Linked DNA regions of Caenorhabditis elegans. The protein of the gene in region 1 purifies or fractionates together with the protein of each later gene. This does not show direct contact. Each region holds a gene or a part of one and is shown in the gene's direction. Other genes may lie near its edges.

Region 1 (10,993 bases):
TAACTAAAAATTGTTCAATCAAATTACGAAAAATGGAATTAAATTTCAAATTGAATTTTCTGCGATCCCAAGCAAAGGTGGATTTTCGAATTTTTCGATGTTTGCAGAGATAATCGGAAAACCTAAAATTTTCTATTTTCCGGAAAATCGAAAATTCGGAAAAAAAATTCCGAAAATTAACCATAAAATATGATTTTTATCTAATTTTGTAAAGTTTCTTCTACAAGAAGAAAAAATACCAACATATTAAGCAAAGTTTTAAAAAATAGAAAAACAAAAATTTTTAGTTTTTTTTATTTTCAAAAAATCGAAAAACCGACACCCGTGATGTTAATTTTTTGTTGCAATTTTTAAAATTTCAGAAATTCTCAAATCTGAAAATGTTACTTCTGTACAATTCAAACTCTGATTTTCCAGACCCTCGTCGCCGCAATGATCAACGTAATGCAAATGAAACCACACGCTCGTCCATTCAATATTGTTAATCTGACAGCACTTCTTCTCACTGCTCTACCCGCAGCATATTCAAATGCATTACACGATGAATTTGTAGCAGTTTTTGTGAACGGAGAAACTGCCAATTTAAAGTTCGAGGAAATTGTATTCGACAACTATGAGGAGAGCCTATTGTTGAATTTGCCCAATCGAGCACGTACAATTAATGTGATATCGCAACAATATTGGTTGCATTGTAGTTTGGTAAGAAATTTGAAAAAAGGATATTTCAAATGGATTTATACAGAAATTCAGAGACAGATGAGCATTTTGAACAGGAAAAAAGTTGATCTGAAATTGCATGTAAAAATTTAATTTTTTTTTTTCGAAAAAAAATCTGTAATTTTTGGACCGAAATTTTTAAATCAAAAATAGTTTTTTCGAAACTTTTTCTAAGATTTTAGAAAACTTGCGAGTGTCTGAATTGGTCATTTTTCATATTATGAAACTCAATTTCAACGTACTTCGGGGTTTTCTGTCTAAAGGAAATTATCCAAAATAGTTTATTTTTGTAAATTCTACAAAAAAAACGAAAATATTATTGTAACAATTTTTTTTCGAAAAAAAAAACAAACTGAAAACTGGGCTTTTTTCGGAAAAATTTGGAAAAAAACAATTTTTCTGAAAAAAGGTATATTTTCCGAACTCTGCCACGCACGTAACAAAACACTGATTTTTTAAAAATTTCAGTCTCTTCTCAATTTCTTCTCCCACGAATACGTCCCTCGAATTCTGGAGCACGTAAAAACTGAGAAGGACCTCTGGTACACACTTCGCCTCGTCATGCCATACCTCCGTCGCTACTATGAAAATTGGGACACTGCCAAGCAAATGAGATCACAACGCGAAAATTTCGGACCTCTTCACATTGTGAAGCTTGTCTTCCAAAAGTTGGGATCAATGGCCGAAGAAGGTGTTGAAATTGTGTACGAGCAGCACCTGTGTGATTTGTTCTACAATTGCAAATATTTCTTCGCCGGAGACTTTTTGAGGAATACGGCGATCACTGAATTCGCAAAGCTTCCCGAAAAAATGAGAGATCGTCTCAAGTTCTATGTGTCTCAATCAGAACCAACTGCAGAGCAGGAAACACCACCGGAAAAGGAAAAATCACCGGAAAAAGAGAAGGAGCAGGAACAAGAGCAACATGTCAAAGTAATACTCGTTTTAATTCTGTCATTTTTTTTTTCTGAAAGTTTACAGTTTTTTTAGTCTTGAAGCAAGACCATAACTATTAGTAGTGATTTCAAGTGTATTTAAAATCGAGTGTAACCAGGTAATTTCTAATAATGAATTTATCAATAAGTATTGATGTAGTTATTATGGAAAAAATGTATCACAAGAAAATAATAACTATTGAGCAAAATTTTCAAAATTGGCTACCGGATAACTTCAAATTAGCCGTACTGCCAAAAAGTCGGCTAATTCGGTTAATTGGTAAAAAACCGCGGCTAACGGATAAATCACCTAATATTAGCCGAATCAGCCATTCCGCGAATTCGGCTAAATCGGCTAATATCCGCACACTTCTGGTCAATACACTCGATTTTGGGTCAAAAATCACTATTTCTCAAATCAAATTTCTAGGCTCACCAACCTCTCGAATCAACACCTTCCGTTTCCTCACTACCGCAAATGCAACATCATCTACAACAAGCACCACTACTACCATCACATCAAATGATGCCTCCACCACAACAACATTCATCCTCACTTCAACATCATCTACAACATCATACATCTACACATCAAATGATGGATACATCACAACATCAGACAATTCAACAACAATCAAATCATCCTACTCAACAACAACTTCAACATCAAATTCCGAATATGTCGATGCATCAACAAATGGGACCTCAATATCCTGGTGCAGTTTTTCATCATCCATCTGGACCTGTGGGACATGTCCCAATGCAATATGGAATGGGACATCATATGCAACAGCACCCACATCTTCCACATCATCAGCAAATGCCGGCACCTATGCATACAATGAATCCTATGGTAAACATTTGGAAAATTTCGAAAAAAATAATTTTTAAAATCACTTGATAGATTCAAAATTTTTTCGAAAATTCCAAAAATAAAAAAAAGGTTCTAAACATTCCCAAAAGTTTTGAGAACTTCAAAATTTTCGAAATTTCCAACAAAAACAAATTGAAAGTTTTCTCCAACTTTTAGAAATTCCCAAAAAAAAATTCCAATCTTACAGAACATCTGAAAAATCTGAAATTCCATAAGCTTTAAAAAACCAAATTTTCAAAAGTTTCGGTAAATTTCTTTTTCTACCCCGCATTTTTAAAAGAATATTCAATAAAATTGAATTTTTCGAATTTAAATCGATTTTTTCCAAAAAAAAAATCAAAGAATTCCAAAAAAAAATCCAAAATTTCCTGAAAATTAAAAAAAGGTTTTCAATTTTGTCCGAAAAAAAATCAAAGAATTCCAAAAAAAATTCCAAAATTTCCTAAACATTAAAAAAAAATGGTTTTCAATTTTTTTTCCGAAAAAAAATCAAAGAATTCCAAAAAAAAAGCTAAATTTCCTAAAACTTCAAAAAAGGGGTTTCGATGTATTTTGCAAAAATAAAACACAATTTCCGAAAAAAAAATTTTTTCCAAAAATCCTCGAATTCCAAAAAAAATTTCCAGATGCAAAACATGACTCCTCAACAGCAATATCTCTACATGCAACAACTTCAACAACATCAGCAACATCAACAGTACATGCAACAGCAACAACAGCATCACCATCAACACCAACAGCAACCTCATTAATTTTTTTTCATAATTTACCTAGTTTTTTACAATTTACCATCATATATTTGAAAAATCTCACTGATTACGGTTATGTACATATATTTATTATTGTTTATAGTTTTTTACTTCAAAATTTTCATAAAATTTTATTTTTCTTATTCTTTTTCAATCTTTTTTTCAATTTAAAGATTAAAAATCTTTCAATATCTCGACCCCTAACACTGTACAATGTCGATTTACGCAGCTCGTGTACTCCCCGAGGATAAGTGAAAAATCAATGGTTTTGGTCAAAATTGCATGTTTTGCTTAAATTTTGGATTTTGGCTTCTTTTTTAAATTCAAACAAATTTGTCGATTGGCCGATATGCCGGAATCTTTCAATTACGGCAATTTGCCGATTTGCCGGGAATTTCCATTTTCATGCAAAATAATTGCTGATTTAATAATATATGGCGCCCACGCCTGGAAACAGCGACGGTTTTTTGAAAAAGAGATATAATTGCGATTTGAACATTAAATTCGGAAAGAATCGGATCATAATCTTCTCCTCGTGGAGTACACGACTTCCGTAAATCGACAATCTTCAATTTTAAAATTCAATTAATTTTGTTAAGATTGAAACTATTTTCAGTAACAAAAGTTTCCTTCAATGCTCCTATGCCCTCCAACAAGGTGATTTGTTCTGATCTTTACGATTGTGATTGGTAAACAATAAAATAACTGAAAAAAGATTTAAATATGCCTATTTTATTCCAGGTATTGGGGAGATTTGGACTGGAAATGGGCAGAACGGCTGCTCCTTTTGTGCCCAATCGGATATTTTTTAATTCGAGACAGTCGAAGTGAAACTCATCTTTTCACTGTTTCTTATCATTTTCAAGGTATTGTTTTTCAAAAAATCAATTTTTTCCAAATAAATATAATTTCAGATAGAGTCTATCATTCGCGCTTGTCACTTGAAGATTCACGACGGAATTTGGGTAGTCGGCAGCCATACGTCTCACGTGACTATTGGAATCTTGTGGAAATTATTGAGAGAAGTTTAGAGGTATGTAGTACATTTAAAAATATCTATGATTTTTGATTTTAAAAAAATCGGAAAAGAGTAAAACTTTAAAAAAAAATTGTGACAGGCCAAAAAGGTCGAAAATATTTTTCGAAGAGTTAAAAAAAATCGAAATTTTCCCAAAATGTTTCCGGAAATCGAAAATATATTTTTTTAAAAGCAAATTATTTTTCCGAAAAACGGAAAAAAACTATTTTTTTTAAGTGAAAATAATTATTTTTCTTTTTAAAAAATTCGAAAACTAAAAAAATTCAAATTTTCCGAAAGTATGTCCTTTTTTTCTCAAAATTAGAAATTAAAAAAGAGTATTAATCAAAAAAAAATTTTTCGGAACATAATTTTAAAAATTAAAATTGAAAAACAAATCAAACACAATACAACCATTTTTTTTCATAAAATCGAGAAAAAATCCTTTTTTTTTCGAAAAACCAAAAAAAAATCACGAGAAAAATAATCGATTGTTCTAAAAAAAATTCACTTTTTTGCAGAAAAAAATTAAAAAATCACCATTTTTGTTCACAAAAAAAACCACATTCCCGAAAGAAAATAGTTCAGTTTTTTCAGAAATTAGTTTTTTTTTCAAAAATCCGAAAAAAACTGAGTTTTTCAAGCAAAAAAATAATTTAATGTTTCAAAAATCAAAAAAAATCGTAGTTTTTCGGAAAAAAACACTAAACTTTTTTCAGCAATCCCTAACAGGACAACAAGAAATGCTCCACTATCGACGTGGACATGAAGCCGAAGCAGCGCGTGTCAATTTAACACGTCCACTCACAAAACGAGAGCTTCTACCATCACTACAGTACCTCTGTCGATTTACCCTGAAAACGAGTCAACAAAAACCACCGACACCCAAAACAGCTCCTCTGCCACCAACGATTTTAAAGTATTTGAGTGATTCGAAATGGATTATTCCTGATTTGAAGAAATGTGAAGAGCAATTGAAATTAAGATTTTGTGTAATTAATAATTAATTGTTTTAGTTTTGAATTATATCGAATTACGGGGTTTTTTTTGAATGCTTAATAAATAACTTTTTTCTCTCAAATTTAAGTTATATATTCATAAAATCTCGGTTTCTTTCCAGAAAAATTGTCACGGATCCTGTTTTTTATTAAATTTTCAAACATTTTTTTAAGATCGTGAAAATTTTGAAATTAAAAAAAAGAACCTTTCGAGTAATCAAATTTTTTTTTAATTGGAAAAGAATAATTTTTTCAGGCATTTAGAAAATGTCGACAATCTTCGCCCTATCGTCTGGCACATTGCCAAGCGCAATTGCGATGTTCCGCGTTTCAGGTTAATTTTCAGAACAATTGAAAAAAAAAATTCCATTAGGTTACGAATGGTTCATTTTGAAAAAATTTCTGCCAAAATAGCCATAAACAATATAAAAATCTCTGAAAAAATTCGTACGATGCTCTTGCGAAACCCCCCCCCCCCCCAAAAAAAGGCTTTCTGAGCTTACTGTTCACAGTATTCACAGTATTTTTTCCAGGATCACAAAGCCTCCCCGTACTCCGCCAGCTGAGCCGTCGAAAAGTTTGGAAGCCGAAAACGATGAAATACACGAAATTGTACGATTCAGAGAGCAAAATCATCGATGAAGCAATGGCGGTATATCTTCCCGGCCCGAAAACGTTTACCGGAGAAGACACAGCCGAGTTTTTTCTACATGGAAGTCAGGCCGTGGCCGTGAAGTTTGCCTCATGTTTGGCTGGAATTCAAAATGTTCGAGAAGCGAAGCGAGGAGAATTCACGAGGAGGTTATTATTAGCATACGATTTTCAAAAATCGGGGTTCAAACCAGGGATGGGCAGCAATTGCCGTTCGGCAAATTTTTTTCGACAAATTCGGCGATTCCGGCAATTTGCCGATTTGCCGGAAATTTCAATTCCGACAATTTGCTGATTTGCCGATTTGCCAATTTGCCGGAAAAATTGTTTGCCGTCCACCCCTGGTTAAAACGCGCTCCACGGCTAAAAGTTGGGTCTCGCTAGGTTTTGGCTGCTGCAAAACCGTAATTTCGAACGTTTTCAATAAGTTTTCGTTATTTTTGTTATGTTTCCTGTCGTTTATTAATTAATTTTATGTTGAAAAAATGTCCAAAAGTGCTTTAATTTTTCATTTAACCATGAAAACAAAATAACATTAGAGTTTTTGGTTTTGCCGCCGAATAAAAATTCCAAACTTTCCGCAGTTGAGCGCGCTTGCACATCTGTTTCAAAATATTTTGAATGCATTTAAATGCACATTTTGGGTCTCTATAATAACTCTTAGTTAATTTACAGAGCATTTCACAACGGAAAATTGAGCATTTCCGAGGTTCGAGGAATCGATCGGCTAATTAAATCTCGAACCGAAAAAGAACGAAATGCGGCATTTGGTCAAATGCGTGGTGGAGTTCGAGCTATTGAAATAAGGTATTGAAGTGAGAAAAATTGGAATTTTATATTGTTCGCAAGCAATTTGAAAAAACAAAAAAATCCCTCGAGATTTGGAATTTTTGGAAAAAAAAACTTAAAAAAAAAAGGAAAAAAAAAGATTTATAGGGATTTTTAAAAATTTCATTAAAACTTATGATATCGTACGAGCTTTTCAATAATACATTTTTTCAAATTGCCGGAATAGAAATGTCCGGCAAATCGACAATTTGTCGGTATTGAAAACTTCCGGCGAATCAGAAAATTGCTGGAATTGAAATTTCCGGCAAATCGGCAAATTGCTGGAATTGAAATTTCCGGCAAATCGGCAAATTGCTGGAATTGAAATTTCCGGCAAATCGGCAAATTGCTGGAATTGAAATTTCCGGCAAATCGGCAAATTGCTGGAATTGAAATTTCCGGCAAATCGGCAAATTGCTGGAATTGAAATTTCCGGCAAATCGGCAAATTGCTGGAATTGAAATTTCCGGCAAATCGGCAAATTGCTGGAATTGAAATTTCCGACAAATCGGCAAATTGCTGGAATTGAAATTTCCGGCAAATCGGCAAATTGCTGGAATTGAAATTTCCGGCAAATCGGCAAATTGCTGGAATTGAAATTTCCGGCAAATCGGCAAATTGCTGGAATTGAAATTTCCGGCAAATCGGCAAATTGCTGGAATTGAAATTTCCGGCAAATCGGCAAATTGCTGGAATTGAAATTTCCGGCAAATCGGCAAATTGCTGGAATTGAAATTTCCGGCAAATCGGCAAATTGCTGGAATTGAAATTTCCGGCAAATCGGCAAATTGCTGGAATTGAAATTTCCGGCAAATCGACAAATTTCTGGAATGGAAATTTCCGGGAAATCGGCAACTTGCCGGAATTGAAATTACCGATAAATCGACAATTTGCCGGAATTGGAAATTTCCGGCAAATCGGAAAATTGCCGGAATTGAAATTTTCGGCAAACCGGCAATTTGCCAATTTGCTGAATTTGTCGACAAAAACTTCGTGCCGCATACCCCTGACATTTACTCTCAATTTCAGGAAGCAATTAATTCAAATTCTATCGAAACTATTTGTGATCATTGATTTTGGAGAACACGTGAACTTGGAATTACGCGAAGCTCAACAAGATGTCTCTGAAATTCTTCATGAACTCAATCGAATGATCAAAGCGTGGGATGGTGCAGAACGGGCTCAACGTGGATTGGATATTGTGCTCTATGGAAGACCGAATTCCGGAAAATCAAGCATTTTAAATCAGTTAGCGCATGATGACGTGGCAATTGTTAGCTCGATTCCTGGAACCACGAGAGATAGTTTGGAAGTAAAAATGATCATATAAACCTATTGAAGTGTTAAAATTTTTCAAATTTTTCAAAAATTAACCAAAAAATTTCAATCAAATTTTCTTTTGCGATTTTTTTTTCTGAAACTAAAATCAGTTTTTCCAAAACTACAGTAATCCTACAGTATTCCCTACAATACTACTACAGTACTCCAATCATATCCCCCTATTAACACCAAACTAATAACCCTTCAAAATACGAAAAACCAGTTTTTCTCCAACTACAGTAACCCTACAGTAATCCTACAGTATTCCCTACAGTACTACTACAGTACCCTAGCCACGTTCCCTTGAACAATCAATTTTGAAACTCCTCTAAAACACACAATTTTGAAATTTAAAAAGTGGCAAAAATTCCAATTTTTTGTAAAAATTCACAATTTTGAAACTCTTCTAAAATGGGCAATTTTGTAGCTAGAGGACTCAAAATTGATCTGCAAACATTAAAAAAATTTTCCTTTTTAAGAATATAATAGTTTTGAACATTTTTAGGGAAATTATTTTTTTGCCCAAAATAAAAAAAGGATAGTCATTAGATGGCTGAAAATAGTTTGGGCAAAAATAAAAAGTTGTCTAAATTTGTTGAAAACGGGTAATTTATGTATGTTGAATTCAGAAAATCTAGGTTTAACCCGTCAAAAACTTTTAAAAAGTGGCAAAAATGGCAGATTTATGGCAAAAATTCACAATTTTGAATCTTCTCTAAAATGGGCAATTTTGTAGCTAGAGGACTCAAAATTGATTTAGGATTATAAAAAAATTGACCTTTTTCAGAATATAGTAGTTTTAAACATTTTCAGAAAAATTATTTTTTTGCCCAAAATAAAAAAAAAGGACAGTCATTAGATGGCTGAAAATAATTTGGGCAAAAATAAAAAGTTGTCTAAATTTGTTGAAAACGGGTAATTTATGTATGTTGAATTCAGAAAATCTAGGTTTAACCCGTCAAAAACTATTAAAAAGTGGCAAAAATGGCCAATTTATAGCAAAAATTCACAATTTTGAATCTTCTCTAAAACGGGCAATTTTGTAGCTCAAAAGACGAAAAGTCAATTTTTCGAAAACTACGGTAATCCTACAGTACTCCTAGAGTGCCTGGAAAATGTTCCAAACATTAATTGAAAATCTTACAGACAATCATTCAAATTAACGGAGTTCGATGCCGTCTCACAGACACTGCTGGAGTTCGACAAAAAACTAATGACGTCATTGAGGCAGAAGGTATTCGACGTGCTCAAAAACGAATCCAATCAGCTGACATTATCTGCGTTGTCGTGGATCCACAATTCACGTCGGATGACGATGTTGAATCGATTTTGAATGACGTGGAAGTGATGCGAAATCGCGAAGCTCGTGTGATTATTGCAAAGAATAAGTCTGATCTGAGTCTGAAGTATCCAAAACTTCCCTCAAATTTCACTACTGTATCTACAAATGCTACCACAGATACTGGCTGCAAACAACTTCAAAACTGTTTGGGAGAAATTGTAGATGATCTGTGTCCTGAAGCAAGTTATTTACTAGATGCAGATCTGTTAAGGTTTTTTTTTGTCAAAAAATAATATTCAAAGTTGTTTTAATTTCAGAAGATGCTCATTCGAATTGGAGTCAGCTGTAACGTGTAACGACGCAGCAATCATGTGTTCACATCTGGAAGTTGCCTTGGAACAAATCGGAGAGCTCACCGAGGGAATTGTCACTGAAAGTGTTCTAGATGGAATTTTTAGCAAATTTTGTATCGGAAAATAAAAGCTTTGACCATTTTTGGCACTTTTAAATAGTTTTTTTTTGGGTTAAACCTAGATTTTCTGAATTCAGCGTGTATGAATTACCCGTTTTCACCTTTTGATTTTTGCCCAATTTTTTTTCAGCCATCTAATGACTGTCCTTTTTTTATTTTGGGCAAAAAAAAAAGTTTTCTGAAAATGTTCAAAGCCACTATATTCTGATAATGGACAATTTTTTAGTCTTTATAGATCAATTTAGAGTCATCTAACTTCAAAATTGCCCATTTTAGATGTGTTTCAAAGTTGTGAATTTTTGCCATAAATTGCCCATTTTTGCCATTTTTTAATAGTTTTTGATGGGTTATACCTAGATTTTCTGAAAATTTTTTTTCGGCCATCTAATGACTGTCCTTTTTCTTTTATTTTGGGCAAAAAAATAATTTTTCTCAAAGTGTGCAAAACCACTATATTCTGAAAAAAGGCAATTTTTTATTGTTTGGAGATAAATTTTGAGTCGCCTAGCTATAAAATTAACCATTTTAGAAGAGTTTCAACATTTTGGTTTCGCCCTTTTTTTGTGGTCAAAAAAAATTTATGTTCTGAAGTTGTTCAAAATCACTAATAAGTGAAAAAGAAAAAAAGTCGTTTTTTAATTCAAAAACTACAACGGTAGAAGTCTCCTTAAGAACTCTTTTCTCTCTCTCTCTCTTCTTGTCTCTTTTCCAGTGCCTAATTATATTATGGGAAAGCAGACACTCATATCTCATTTGACTCCCGATTTCTGTCAAAACGTCTCATTTTGCACAAGTATCATCTATTTTCTGTAAAAGGTTTTGTTTCTGTGAAAAGTATGTGTGTGTGAAAAAGAAATTGGGATCGTATATAGTATTATAGTATTGTTTGTTCTCCGTCCTTTTGTCTCATGACTCATTGATCAAATCTAGAAATCGGGAAAATTCCCACAAATCAGTGAAAGCCATTCAGTTTTAGAATGTGTTTTGGGATACTAACAATAGTCCATCAAGGTAGTTATGTAAAATAATACTTATCAGATAATGCAAACAACATAATGACCAACGTTTTGTTAGTTGACCGTTTTCGAAAAAAATGTTCAGTTTTGAGTTATGCTTAATTAAACACCACCCGATATTCATGAAAAAACC
Region 2 (10,993 bases), on another chromosome or scaffold:
AATCGTAAAAGCTTCGGCCTGAAATGGCCTGAAACGGCCTGAAACGGCCTGAGCCCGGCCTGAAATCCAAACTTCCTCAAATATAGCCATTATGGGTGTCAAAATTTTGCAAATTTTTAGGAGAATCCAAATTTTCCACTCAAAACTATCGTAGTCTAACAGATTTCAGAAAATCAAAAAATTTTCCAAAAAAAAAAAATTTTTTTTGCAGTTTACGATAGCAAAATGGGCAGTGTAAAGACTGGATCAGACGGAACATTCCGCGTATCCGGAGATCAAAATAAAATCCGAACAATCGACCCGAAAGTCAACATTTACCACAAGTGCAATTATAACGGGGTGAGTTTTTTATTTCAAAAAAAAAATTCGATTTCAAACTCAAATTTTTCCAGCTCTGCTCGAAAAAAGTGTCCATCAACATTCCAAAAAACGCTGTCGTCAGCGGAAGCGGACAAAATGCTAGAAATTATGACATTGGAACTATCAACTTGGCTAACAAGTTCTCTGGAGAATCTACTGATTGTATTCATTAAAAATTTGGCTTTAATATGTATAAAAAATGCAAACAAATTTGTATATTTTGAAAATTGTTTTATTTTGAACGGTTAGAATATTTTTTCCAAAACAAAAAAATTTTTTTCAAGTTTCAAATTTTTTAAATTTTGAGATTTCAAGCATTTTTGGAAAATTTTGTACATGGCAAGATTTTTCATATCATTTTCATGGATTTGACATTTACTTCGGCTACATTTCAAGAAACTGGGCTTGTCGAAATGATTTGGACCGATTCGGGCCGTTTCAGGCCGTTTCAGGCATGAATTTCCAGTTTTTCTGGAACTGCGTTCTTACTTTCAGGTTTTCCTCATTACTGCATAATTTCTACACTTACCTTGACCTAAATTCGTGGTGCTCATATTTCAAGTCTAGAACGGCCTGAAATGACCTGAAATAGGCCTGAAATTCAACATTTCATTGTTATGCAAGTTAAATCAAAAGCCTGAAAATTATCTTGAAGTTTTAAGTGAAGGAAATCTGTTTTTCAATAAATTTTGAGTTTCGGGCCAGTTTCAGGCCGTTTTGGGCCGTTTTTTGGCCCAAACGTCCAAATGTTCAGAGTATAATCAATATGGGTGTTAAAATTTTGCACATTTTATGGAGAACACGAATTTTACATTTTTATTGTTCAAAATGTCCCCTGGTGTCCCCGAATGTCCCATAGGTGTCCCATAAGTGTCCCTCTCGTGGTTTTAGGCTATATTTGTCGGAATTTGCTCATTTTTTTTACAGAAACACTTTAAAAAGTGTAATTAAACGTTTATTTTATGAAAAATTCCAATTAAAACATAAAAGTTATCAAAAAGTTCCAAAAAAAAAGTTTAATGAATGCAATCAGTACCCTCTCCTGGGTACTTATTGGCCAAATTCAGAACTCCAATGTCAAAAAGTTGAGCTTCTTTGGATCCTTTGCCAACTGCGTTCTTCGGAACATGAATGGTAACCCTTTTCGGGCAAAGCTGAAATTTTTGAGAATTTTTTCAGTAAAATTTTTGAAAAAAAGTCGAAATTTTTCGCTGAAACTCACTCCGACGTGGTTGCATCTGTGATAAATATTGATTTTTGGGTCGATCTTGCGAATTTTATTCTGGCCGCCGACTACTTTGAAGGTTCCGTCTGCCAATGTGTTTGTAACGTCCATCTTGGTGTCATAGACTGCAATTTGGGGCATTTTGCTTCCAAAAATGATCAGATCGCTAGGATTTTACAAAATTCAAACTCGTGGCGTCAATAGCTTCAATTTGACACCCATATTGTCTATATTCCGGCAATTTTGAAGATTTTGGTTAAACCGCGACGCGACCGCAACGCACGGTGATTTTTTGCTTCAAAATGTTGAATAAACTAATGTTTATTTGAGATTTCTAAGTTTGTATTAGTGATACTGAAATTTTTATGTCTTCAAACGTGCACAGTCCTCAGTGATACGCTTGTTTGCAAATTTGAGCGGCCGCGACGCGGCCGCGACGCATGGCTAAAATCAAATGTCTTTAAATATATACAATATGGGTGTTAAATGAGAGCTATAAACTACAAATTAAGGAAATACACGCGTTTGATTTCCAGAAACTGATTGTTTCGTTGCTACGACTGCTTCTGAACTTGAGCGACCGCGACGCGACCGCACCGCACTCAAAAAACTAAAGTTGTCTGATCATAGGCAAAATGGGGGTCAAACAAAAGCTAAGAACGTCAAAAATTCAAAAATCGTATTTTCAACCTTTAAAAGCGAACTATTCTAATGTTACGGTTAGAAACCGCGACGCGACCGCACCGCACTCAAAATACCAAAGTTGTCAGATTATAGGCAATATGGGGGTCAAATGAAAGCTAAGAACGTCAGAATTTCAAAAATACACAAATTAAAACATAAAACTGGAAAAAAAAATGGCTCACCAGTTCCATCCTCATACAGCTTGATCTTCACATCCTTCACAGCTTGGCCGTTGCAAGTGAGCTTACCAACTACAGTAACCGTCTGCTTTCTACCAACAATTCCGCCGAGCCCGTGAGCCACGGCTAAAGTCGCAAGGAAGAGCAGACAAAGTTTGAGCATCGTTTGAGCAGATTCTCAGGAAGTTTCCGTGAGTTTTGCTCCCGGTTTTTATGGGATTTTCGGGTGACAAACATGTTTTTCTGGTCCCCAGCGGCATGTTTACACTAAACAACAACTGTTCCGTTAGATAATCACCTAATCGCCGACTTTTATCCGTTTCTCATCTCGTCTGATTTCCCTGATTTCTTATCATTTTCCTGGATTTCTTATCGATTCCCGGTCGACTCCTGAGCAATGTTCAAAGAAATTCTGCTCATTTCCACTGTTTTTCTGCTCACTGATGCCTTGGGAGGTATTGTTGGGAGTAAACAGACGGTCACTGTGGTCGGCAAACTGGTCTGTAACGGAGCACCGGCTAGAGACGTCCGTGTGAAGCTTTTCGAGGATGGAACTAGTAAGTTGAAAGTTTCAAATTCGATTTTTTCAAGTTGAAAATGTCTCACCACGCTGTTAGCTTCAATTTGGCACTCATATTGCCTGTATTTGGACAATTTTTGGTTTTAGGGCACGGCGCGGTTGCGTCGCGGTTTCTAATAGTCACTATTTACCGTAAAATTAGAGCAGTTCGTTTTTAAGGATCAAAATTACGATTTTTGTATTTCTGACGTTCTTAGCTTTTATTTGACCCCCATAACGACTATATTCGGATAACTTTGGTTTTTTGAGTGCGGTGCGGTCGCGTCGCGTGTCAAATGCAAAAATTATTGTAAAGCTCCACAATGGCAAACATTTTTGAACAAAGACGTTGTATTAATCATAACTCAAAAACTTACCGCGTTGAAGCATGAAAAATGCAATTTCAATTTTCGCCGCGTTGCGGTCGCGTCGCGGTCACACACCCCAAAATTCAAATTTGTCCGAACATAGTCAATATGGGTGTCAAAATTCTTGTCTTGACCTGGAAAATCTGAATTTCCTAGTTTTAACAACAAAAATGTTAACTTTGAACATTTTATTTCACAAAAATACAATTTTCTGCAGTCTACGACACGAAAATGGACTCGGTGAAAACAATTGCTGATGGAACATTCAAGGTCTCGGGATCCCAGAATAAAATCCGCAAGATTGACCCGAAAATCAATATTTATCATAAATGCAACTATTCTGGAGTAGGTTTTTGGAGAAAAAAATTGAAAAAATTCGATTTTTTTCCTATTTAAAAAAAATTCAAAAATTTTGAAATTTTCAGCTCTGCCCAAAAAAAGTGACTATTCATGTTCCAAAAAATGCAGTTGGTAAAGGATCCAAAGAAGCTCAACTTTTCGACATCGGAACCCTCAATTTGGCTAACAGATACCCAGGAGAGGGCACTGATTGCATTCATTAAACTTTTTTTGTAATTTTTTGATAATTTTTATGTTTTAATTGGCATTTTTCATAAAATAAACGTTTAATTACAATTTTTAAAGTGTTTCTGTAAAAAAAATGAGCAAATTCTGACAAATATAGCCTAAAACCATGAGAGGGACACTTATGGGACACCTATGGGACATTCGGGGACACCAGGGGACATTTTAAACAATAAAAATGTAAAATTCGTGTTCTTCATAAAATTTGCAAAATTTTAACACCCATATTGATTATACTCTGAACATTTGGACGTTTTGGCCAAAAAACGGCCCAGAACGGCCTGAAACTGGCCCGAAACTCAAAATTTATTGAAAAATAGATTTTCTTCACCTAAAACTTCAAGATAATTTTCAGCCTTTTGATTTAACTTGCATAACAATGAAATGTTGAATTTCAGGCCAATTTCAGGCCATTTCAGGCCGTTCTAGACTTGAAATATGAGCACCACGAATTTAGGTCAAGGTAAGTGTAGAAATTTTGCAGTAATAAGAAAAACCTAAAAGTGAAAACGCAGTTCCAGAAAATCTAGAAATTCAGGCCTGAAACGGCCTGAAACGGCCCGAATCGGTCCAAATCATTTCGACAAGCCCAGTTTCTTGAAATATAGCCGATGTAAATGTCAAATCCATAAAAATGATATAAAAAATATTGCCATGTACATTAAAAAAAAAATTTTTTTTGGAAAAATATTTGAACCGTTCAAAATTAAACCATTTTTCATGTTTTAATTTGCAATATAAACGCTTAACTACATCTATGCAAGTGTTTCTGTAAAAAAAGAGCAACTTCTGACAAATATAGCCTGAAAACCACGAGTGGGACACTTATGGGACACCTATGGGACATTCGGGGACACCCGGTAAAATTTTGAGAAATATGAACTCAAAATTCGTGTTCTTCATGAAATTTGCCTAGTTTTGAAACCCATATTGGCTATGTTCTACAAACTTTGAAATTTTGGGCAAAAAACGGCCCGGAGCCTGAAAATGGCCTGAAATACAAAACTTTCCTTTAAATAACTTTTATTTCACAGTTTCAAATTTTTCAAAAACGTTTGCTGAAATTATCGACATATACCCGTCAATATTTGTTTTCAAGCCTAGAACGGCCTGAACTGTCCTAAAACTGGTCTGAAATTCAATTTTCCGCAAACATAACCAATTTAGTAGTTCCTTATACAAGTTGGCAAATTACTACAAACGCACTGGCATTAAACTGAGTGTATTGATATTTGGGCTCCAAAAAGCCCGAAACGGCCTAAAACTGGTCTGAAATTCAAATTTCCTCGAATATAGCCAATATGGGGGTCAAATAAACGGAAATTTTATGAAGATTCCAAATTTTCATGTAACAAGGCTTGAAAAAAATCAAAATTTTCAATAACTTGCTCATAAATTAATTTTTCAACCCCCTGTCAACACCAAAAATCTATAAAAGAACCCCAACAAATTCGATGTCGAAATGTGCAGAATCACCCCGATCTTTCCAACTTTTTCCCCCGAAAAAGTGGAAAATTTTACGATTTCGGCCATAAAACTCGGAAGCTTAAAAGCCAACCGTAGCCCGAGGCAATCAAAATTTCGCCGCGAAAATGCAAGTTTTCGTGATTTTCCTGGTGGTTCTACCCATTTCAGGGGTAGTTTCCATCAATATTACAGAACCCGAATTTTTTGAAATTAATATCGATCGGGACCATCCGGAGAAGCTCTACAAGGCTTTTGAGGATTTTAAAAAAAAGTGAGTTTTTTTAATAACGAAAACTTGGCCCAAACTTCAAAATTTTGAAAAATCAATTAAAAATTCGGATTCCCCATAGCAAATAACCCCTACGCCTGAGTTTTCAGAATTTTAGTGCAAAATCCCGTCAAATCGGGTGCCGGGTACGCAAACACCAGGCTACAGTAACCCAAAACACCGGATTTGACGACATTTCGCACGAAATTGTTGAAAAATAGGGTGCAGGGGTAATTTTGGGTGGAGAATTCGAATTTTTACATAATTTTTCAAAAAAAAAATGGTTTTGAAGTGTTGAAATTTCGATTTTCAGAAATAATTGAACATTTCTATTAAAATTTTTCAGAAATCTTATTGTTGCCGTTTTAAGCCACTTTTGAGAAAAAAAACATAATTTTTCACAGGTACAACCGAAAATACAAGGACGAGTCGGAGAATCAGCAGAGATTCAATAATTTCGTAAAATCCTACAACAATGTCGATAAGTAAGTGAAAAAAAACATGGCCCAAACTTCAGAATTTTCAAATTTCGAGTCGAAATTCGGATTCTACGTAGCAAATAACCACTAACCCCGTTTTTCAAAAATTTAGCGCAAAATTCCGTCAAATTGGGTGTAAGGTCCACAAACACTAGGCTACAGTAACCAAAAACACCAGATTTGACGCAAAATTGCACTAAAGCGTTGAAAATTTCGGGACAGGGGTAATTTGAGGCGTAGATTTCGAATTTCATAATGAAAATGTTTTAAATTTGAGTTTAAAAATGAAATTTTTGAATAAAAAATTTCGAAAAAAAATTTCAAAAAAATTTTTTTTTTTCGGTTTTTTTTCAATTTTTTTCAGATTAAACGCAAAGTCAAAAGCAGCCGGATATGACACCCAATTTGGCATTAACAAGTTTTCTGACCTATCCACCGCCGAATTCCACGGCCGTTTGTCCAATGTAGTGCCCAGCAACAATACAGGGCTCCCAATGCTCAACTTCGACAAGAAAAAACCGGATTTTCGCGCGGCCGACATGAATAAAACACGCCATAAGCGTAGATCAACACGCTATCCAGACTATTTCGACTTGAGAAACGAGAAAATCAACGGGCGATACATTGTGGGCCCGATCAAGGATCAGGGGCAATGTGCGTGTTGCTGGGGATTCGCGGTCACCGCACTGGTGGAGACTGTGTATGCAGCACATTCTGGAAAGTTTAAGGTAAAAATAAAACAATTATTTGAAAAATTTGAATGAAAACTGTGAAAGTTCGAGGAAAATCGGTGAAAAATTGGCGTGAAAACTCGAATTTTTCGATTTTTTTTTGAAAACAGAAAACATTGCCGTTGGAGCGCATTTACACCCTCTAGCCTGAAATTTAATTCTATTTTTCTGTAAATATATCGTAGATCACATTTTTTGCTATGTTTTCCATTTTGAAAAATGGCAAAGTTACGTTAGTTTCAAGTGTTTAAAGCGAAGTTGAACGAATTTTCAGTAGGTTCTCAGCGGAGTGCGTTTACTGCTTTTACACTAAATTTTATTAGACTTTGACTATTTTAATATTAAACTTTGCAAAAATTGGTATTGTACACGTTTTTTAAATTTGGAAAATCTTGAAAATTGGCCAAATTACGGATGTTTCAAATTTTCTAGTCAAAATACACAGAGTTTTGAGGAGTTCTCATTGGAGCGCATTTACAACCCCTAAACTAACTTTTCTCTTATTTTTTTGTGCATAGTTAATGTAGATCACATGTTTCTCTACTAGTTTCTTTTGGAAAAATAAGAAAATCTTGAAAACTGGCCAAGATACGATTTTTCACAAATTTGGGTCAAAAAATGAGAAATTTTGAAATATTCTTATTGAAACGCATTGGCAAGCCCAAAACTAATTTTTTTTTTCAAATTTTCAATGTATTTAGTGTAGATCACATGTTATTTCACTAGTTTCTTTTTTAAAAATAAGAAAATCTTGAAAATTGACCTATTTACGGATGTTTCAAATTTTCTAGTCAAAATCAACAGAATTTGTAAGAATTCTCATTGGAGCGCATTTACAACCTCAAAACTGACATTTTTTCATGATTGACTACTACAAATATAGCAGATCATATAATTAGGCGCAATTTTCAGTTTGAAACTAAAAAAAATCTTAAAAATTGGCAAAGTTACGGTAGTTTCAAATTTTTCAGTTAAACTTGGCAGAATTTCAGAATTTCACTGAATTTTTGAATTTCTATGTAAATTTTTGAATATTTTCAGTCCCTATCTGACCAAGAGGTTTGTGATTGCGGTACGGAAGGAACACCGGGATGTAAGGGAGGAAGCTTGACCCTCGGAGTCCAGTACGTCAAGAAATATGGGCTTTCTGGAGATGAAGACTATCCTTACGATCAAAATCGGGCTAACCAGGGCAGAAGATGTCGTTTAAGAGAAACTGACAGAATTGTGCCGGCTGTGAGTTGGAAATTTGAAAATTTGAAAAAATTCCAAAAAAAAAAATTTTTTTTTCAAAAATTTTTTTTTCAAAATTTTTACTTTTTTTAGAATCAAATTTTTTAATTTTCTACCAAATTTTGTTCAGAGAGCCTTCAACTTTGCCGTAATCAACCCACGCCGAGCCGAAGAACAAATCATCCAGGTGCTCACCGAGTGGAAGGTCCCAGTAGCTGTCTGTAAGTCGGCGGGACCAACTGGGGGACATGGGACATCCGGGAGTTTTGAAATTATTAAATTCAAAATCTCCTAAAAATTTGCAAAGTTTTGACATCCATATTGGCTATATTTGGAGAAATTTGAAATTTGGGCCTGAAACGGCCTAAAATTGGCCTAAAATCGGCCTGAAACTCAAAATTTTCAGTCTATAGCCCATGTTAGTGTACCAAAAAAAAATTTCAATTAAAAGCCAAGTATTTTGGCTATATTTCAGTAAATTATATTTTAAGACCTGTTTCAGGCCTATTTCGGCCTGAAATCGGCTCAATACTCAAAATTCTTTTGTTTTGGTGTCACAATTTTACCATTCAATTGAAAACTTGAAAATATTTGGAACATTTCATTTCAAGGCCAATTTTACCCTAAACCGGCCTAAAACCGGCCCGAAACTCGAAATTTGCCGATCGAAATCGATGTCGGTGCCAAAATTTTGAAAATTAAATAACCAACTCAAAAGTTTTGCTGAATATGAAGTACTTTCTTTTCAGGCCTGTTTTGGCCTAGAATCGGCCTGAAATTGGCCCAAAACCCAAACTTATCGAAATATAGTCGATATGGGTGTTAAAATTTTGCAAATTTAACGTGTAATTCAAAAATCTAGCTGAAAACCTGCAGAAACTCCAAGTTTTTCGAAAAAACTCGAAATTAAAAAAAAAAATTCCAGATTTCAAAGTCGGCGATCAATTCAAAGAATATAAAGAAGGAGTGATCATTGAGGACGATTGTAGAAGAGCTACTCAATGGCATGCCGGAGCAATTGTGGGTTACGATACCGTTGAGGATAGCCGTGGAAGAAGTCACGACTACTGGATTATCAAGAACTCCTGGGGAGGCGATTGGGCTGAGTCGGGATATGTTCGAGTGGTCAGGGGTAGGGATTGGTGCTCAATTGAGGATCAACCAATGACTGGAGACATCAAAGATCATAAAGATAACTATTACTATTAATTTATTTTTCTCACTTCTTTTTGTTAAAAAAATGAAAAATAATTATTTTTTTCGAAAATTTGTTTCTTCAAATTTCACAAAAACTCTTCAATTTTAAGCTGTTTTACTTAAAAAATTGAATTCTACGCAAAAAATGTGTTGATTTAACACCCATATCGACTATATTCGAAAAACTTGAACTTCAGGCCGTTTCAGGCCATTTCAGGCCATTTCAGGCCCAAAATTTCAAAAAGTTGCTTTGTGCCTTGCTTTTACCAGCAGTTGGTGATCTTCAACGTGGAATCCGATTGAGGAGGCAATTTTGGGAAATAATCAGCTTATTGGCTGAAATTTCTAAAATTTAAACCGAAAACTTGGCCCAAATCTGGGAATTTCGAAAAATTAAGCTCAAATTCGAACTCCGCGTGGTAAATTACCCCCTACCCACAATTTTCAGAATTTTTGTGCAAAATCCCGTCAAATCTGGTGCCAAGTTCGCAAACACCACGCTACAGTAACCCAAAACACCCGATTTGACGACATTTTGCACTAGAGCTCTGAAAATCCGGGTTCAGGGGTAGTTTTTGATGGAGAATTCGAATTTCGACTTGAAAATCTGGAATTTTAAGTTTGAAAGTACTGAAATTTCGGGTTTCGACAATCTGGAACAAAAACTTGGCCCAAACTGGAAAATTTTGCAAACCTGAGCTCAAATTCCGATTCCCCGCGCTAAATAACTCCTAACCCCCGATTTTCAGAATTTTTGGCCAAAATCCCGTCAAATTTGGAGCCAAGTTCGCAAACACCACGCTACAGTAACCCAAAACACCCGATTTGACGACATTTTGCACTAAAATTCTGAAAATTGCGTGCTAGAAGTGATTTTTCGCGTAGAATCTGATTTTGAAGTCAGATTTTCAAAATTTTGAAGTTTGGACCGAGATTTTAGGAAAAATTTAATTTTTTTTTAAAGATTAAGTTTATAAAAACAAATAAATAAATAAAAATACAACAAAAAAACAGCGAGATTCGGGGGAAAAGTCGAAAACTATTCAACTTTGCACAATTTCAGAAATTCAAATTCCAACGGGAAAATTTTCGGGAACAAGTGGGCCGAGTCGGGCAAATGATTTTGAATGATAATTCTAAAGACAGAAGTATTGATTTTATCGATTGATTCTTTTTCGGCGGGCAGGCCCTCGTCAACGTCACCGCGTAGAATTTCCATGTGATATGTGTCGATTGTGGCGGTATTTAGCTGACGGACCTGGAAAAAATTCGGAATTTTTTGGACAAAAAAAAAAGACATTTCTGACTTTAAAACTTGAAAATTCCGAAAAACCAGGTGAAAATTTGAATTCTCCATCCCAAATTCCCCCCCCCCCTTAGCGCAGCCCAATTTTCAGAATTTTAGTGCAAAATTCCGTCAAATCTGGTGTTTCGGGTTACTGTAGCGCGGTGTTTGCGTAACCCACACCTGATTTGACGGAATTTTGCACTAAAATTCTGAAAATTGGGAGTTAGGGGTAATTTACCACGGGGAATTCAAATTTGAAGTTATTTTACCAAAATTTTGATTTTTGGGCCTAAAATTTCGGCCCAAAATTGTAAAATTTGGATTTTCAGGCCCTAATTTTCAAAATTTCGAAAAATAAAATTTAAATTCG

What was found.
Region 2: the proteins of mtcu-1 (region 1) and Y51A2D.8 fractionate together in Caenorhabditis elegans (co-fractionation; one large-scale study listed by BioGRID). This does not show direct contact.

The regions. Positions count from the first base shown.
Region 1 is NC_003279.8:14,769,562-14,780,554, reverse strand, and holds mtcu-1 (TrmE-type G domain-containing protein), read left to right. Parts: upstream 1-5,547; 5' UTR 5,548-5,558; coding exon 5,559-5,625; intron 5,626-5,824; coding exon 5,825-6,092; intron 6,093-6,617; coding exon 6,618-6,749; intron 6,750-7,799; coding exon 7,800-8,082; intron 8,083-9,236; coding exon 9,237-9,643; intron 9,644-9,689; coding exon 9,690-9,852; 3' UTR 9,853-9,866; downstream 9,867-10,993. Other genes in the region: sur-2 (Mediator of RNA polymerase II transcription subunit 23), read left to right, coding at 418-699, 1,186-1,650, 2,083-2,505, 3,153-3,278; F39B2.5 (SH2 domain-containing protein), read left to right, coding at 3,918-3,964, 4,017-4,141, 4,190-4,308, 5,013-5,300.
Region 2 is NC_003283.11:18,548,406-18,559,398, reverse strand, and holds Y51A2D.8 (Cysteine proteinase), read left to right. Parts: upstream 1-5,548; 5' UTR 5,549-5,552; coding exon 5,553-5,698; intron 5,699-6,099; coding exon 6,100-6,180; intron 6,181-6,538; coding exon 6,539-6,902; intron 6,903-7,946; coding exon 7,947-8,141; intron 8,142-8,268; coding exon 8,269-8,359; intron 8,360-9,063; coding exon 9,064-9,347; 3' UTR 9,348-9,396; downstream 9,397-10,993. Other genes in the region: ttr-26 (Transthyretin-like family protein), read left to right, coding at 212-339, 393-533; ttr-25 (TransThyretin-Related family domain), read right to left, coding at 1,377-1,514, 1,583-1,710, 2,452-2,611; ttr-24 (TransThyretin-Related family domain), read left to right, coding at 2,846-3,005, 3,593-3,720, 3,801-3,938; ints-5 (Integrator complex subunit 5), read right to left, coding at 10,375-10,593.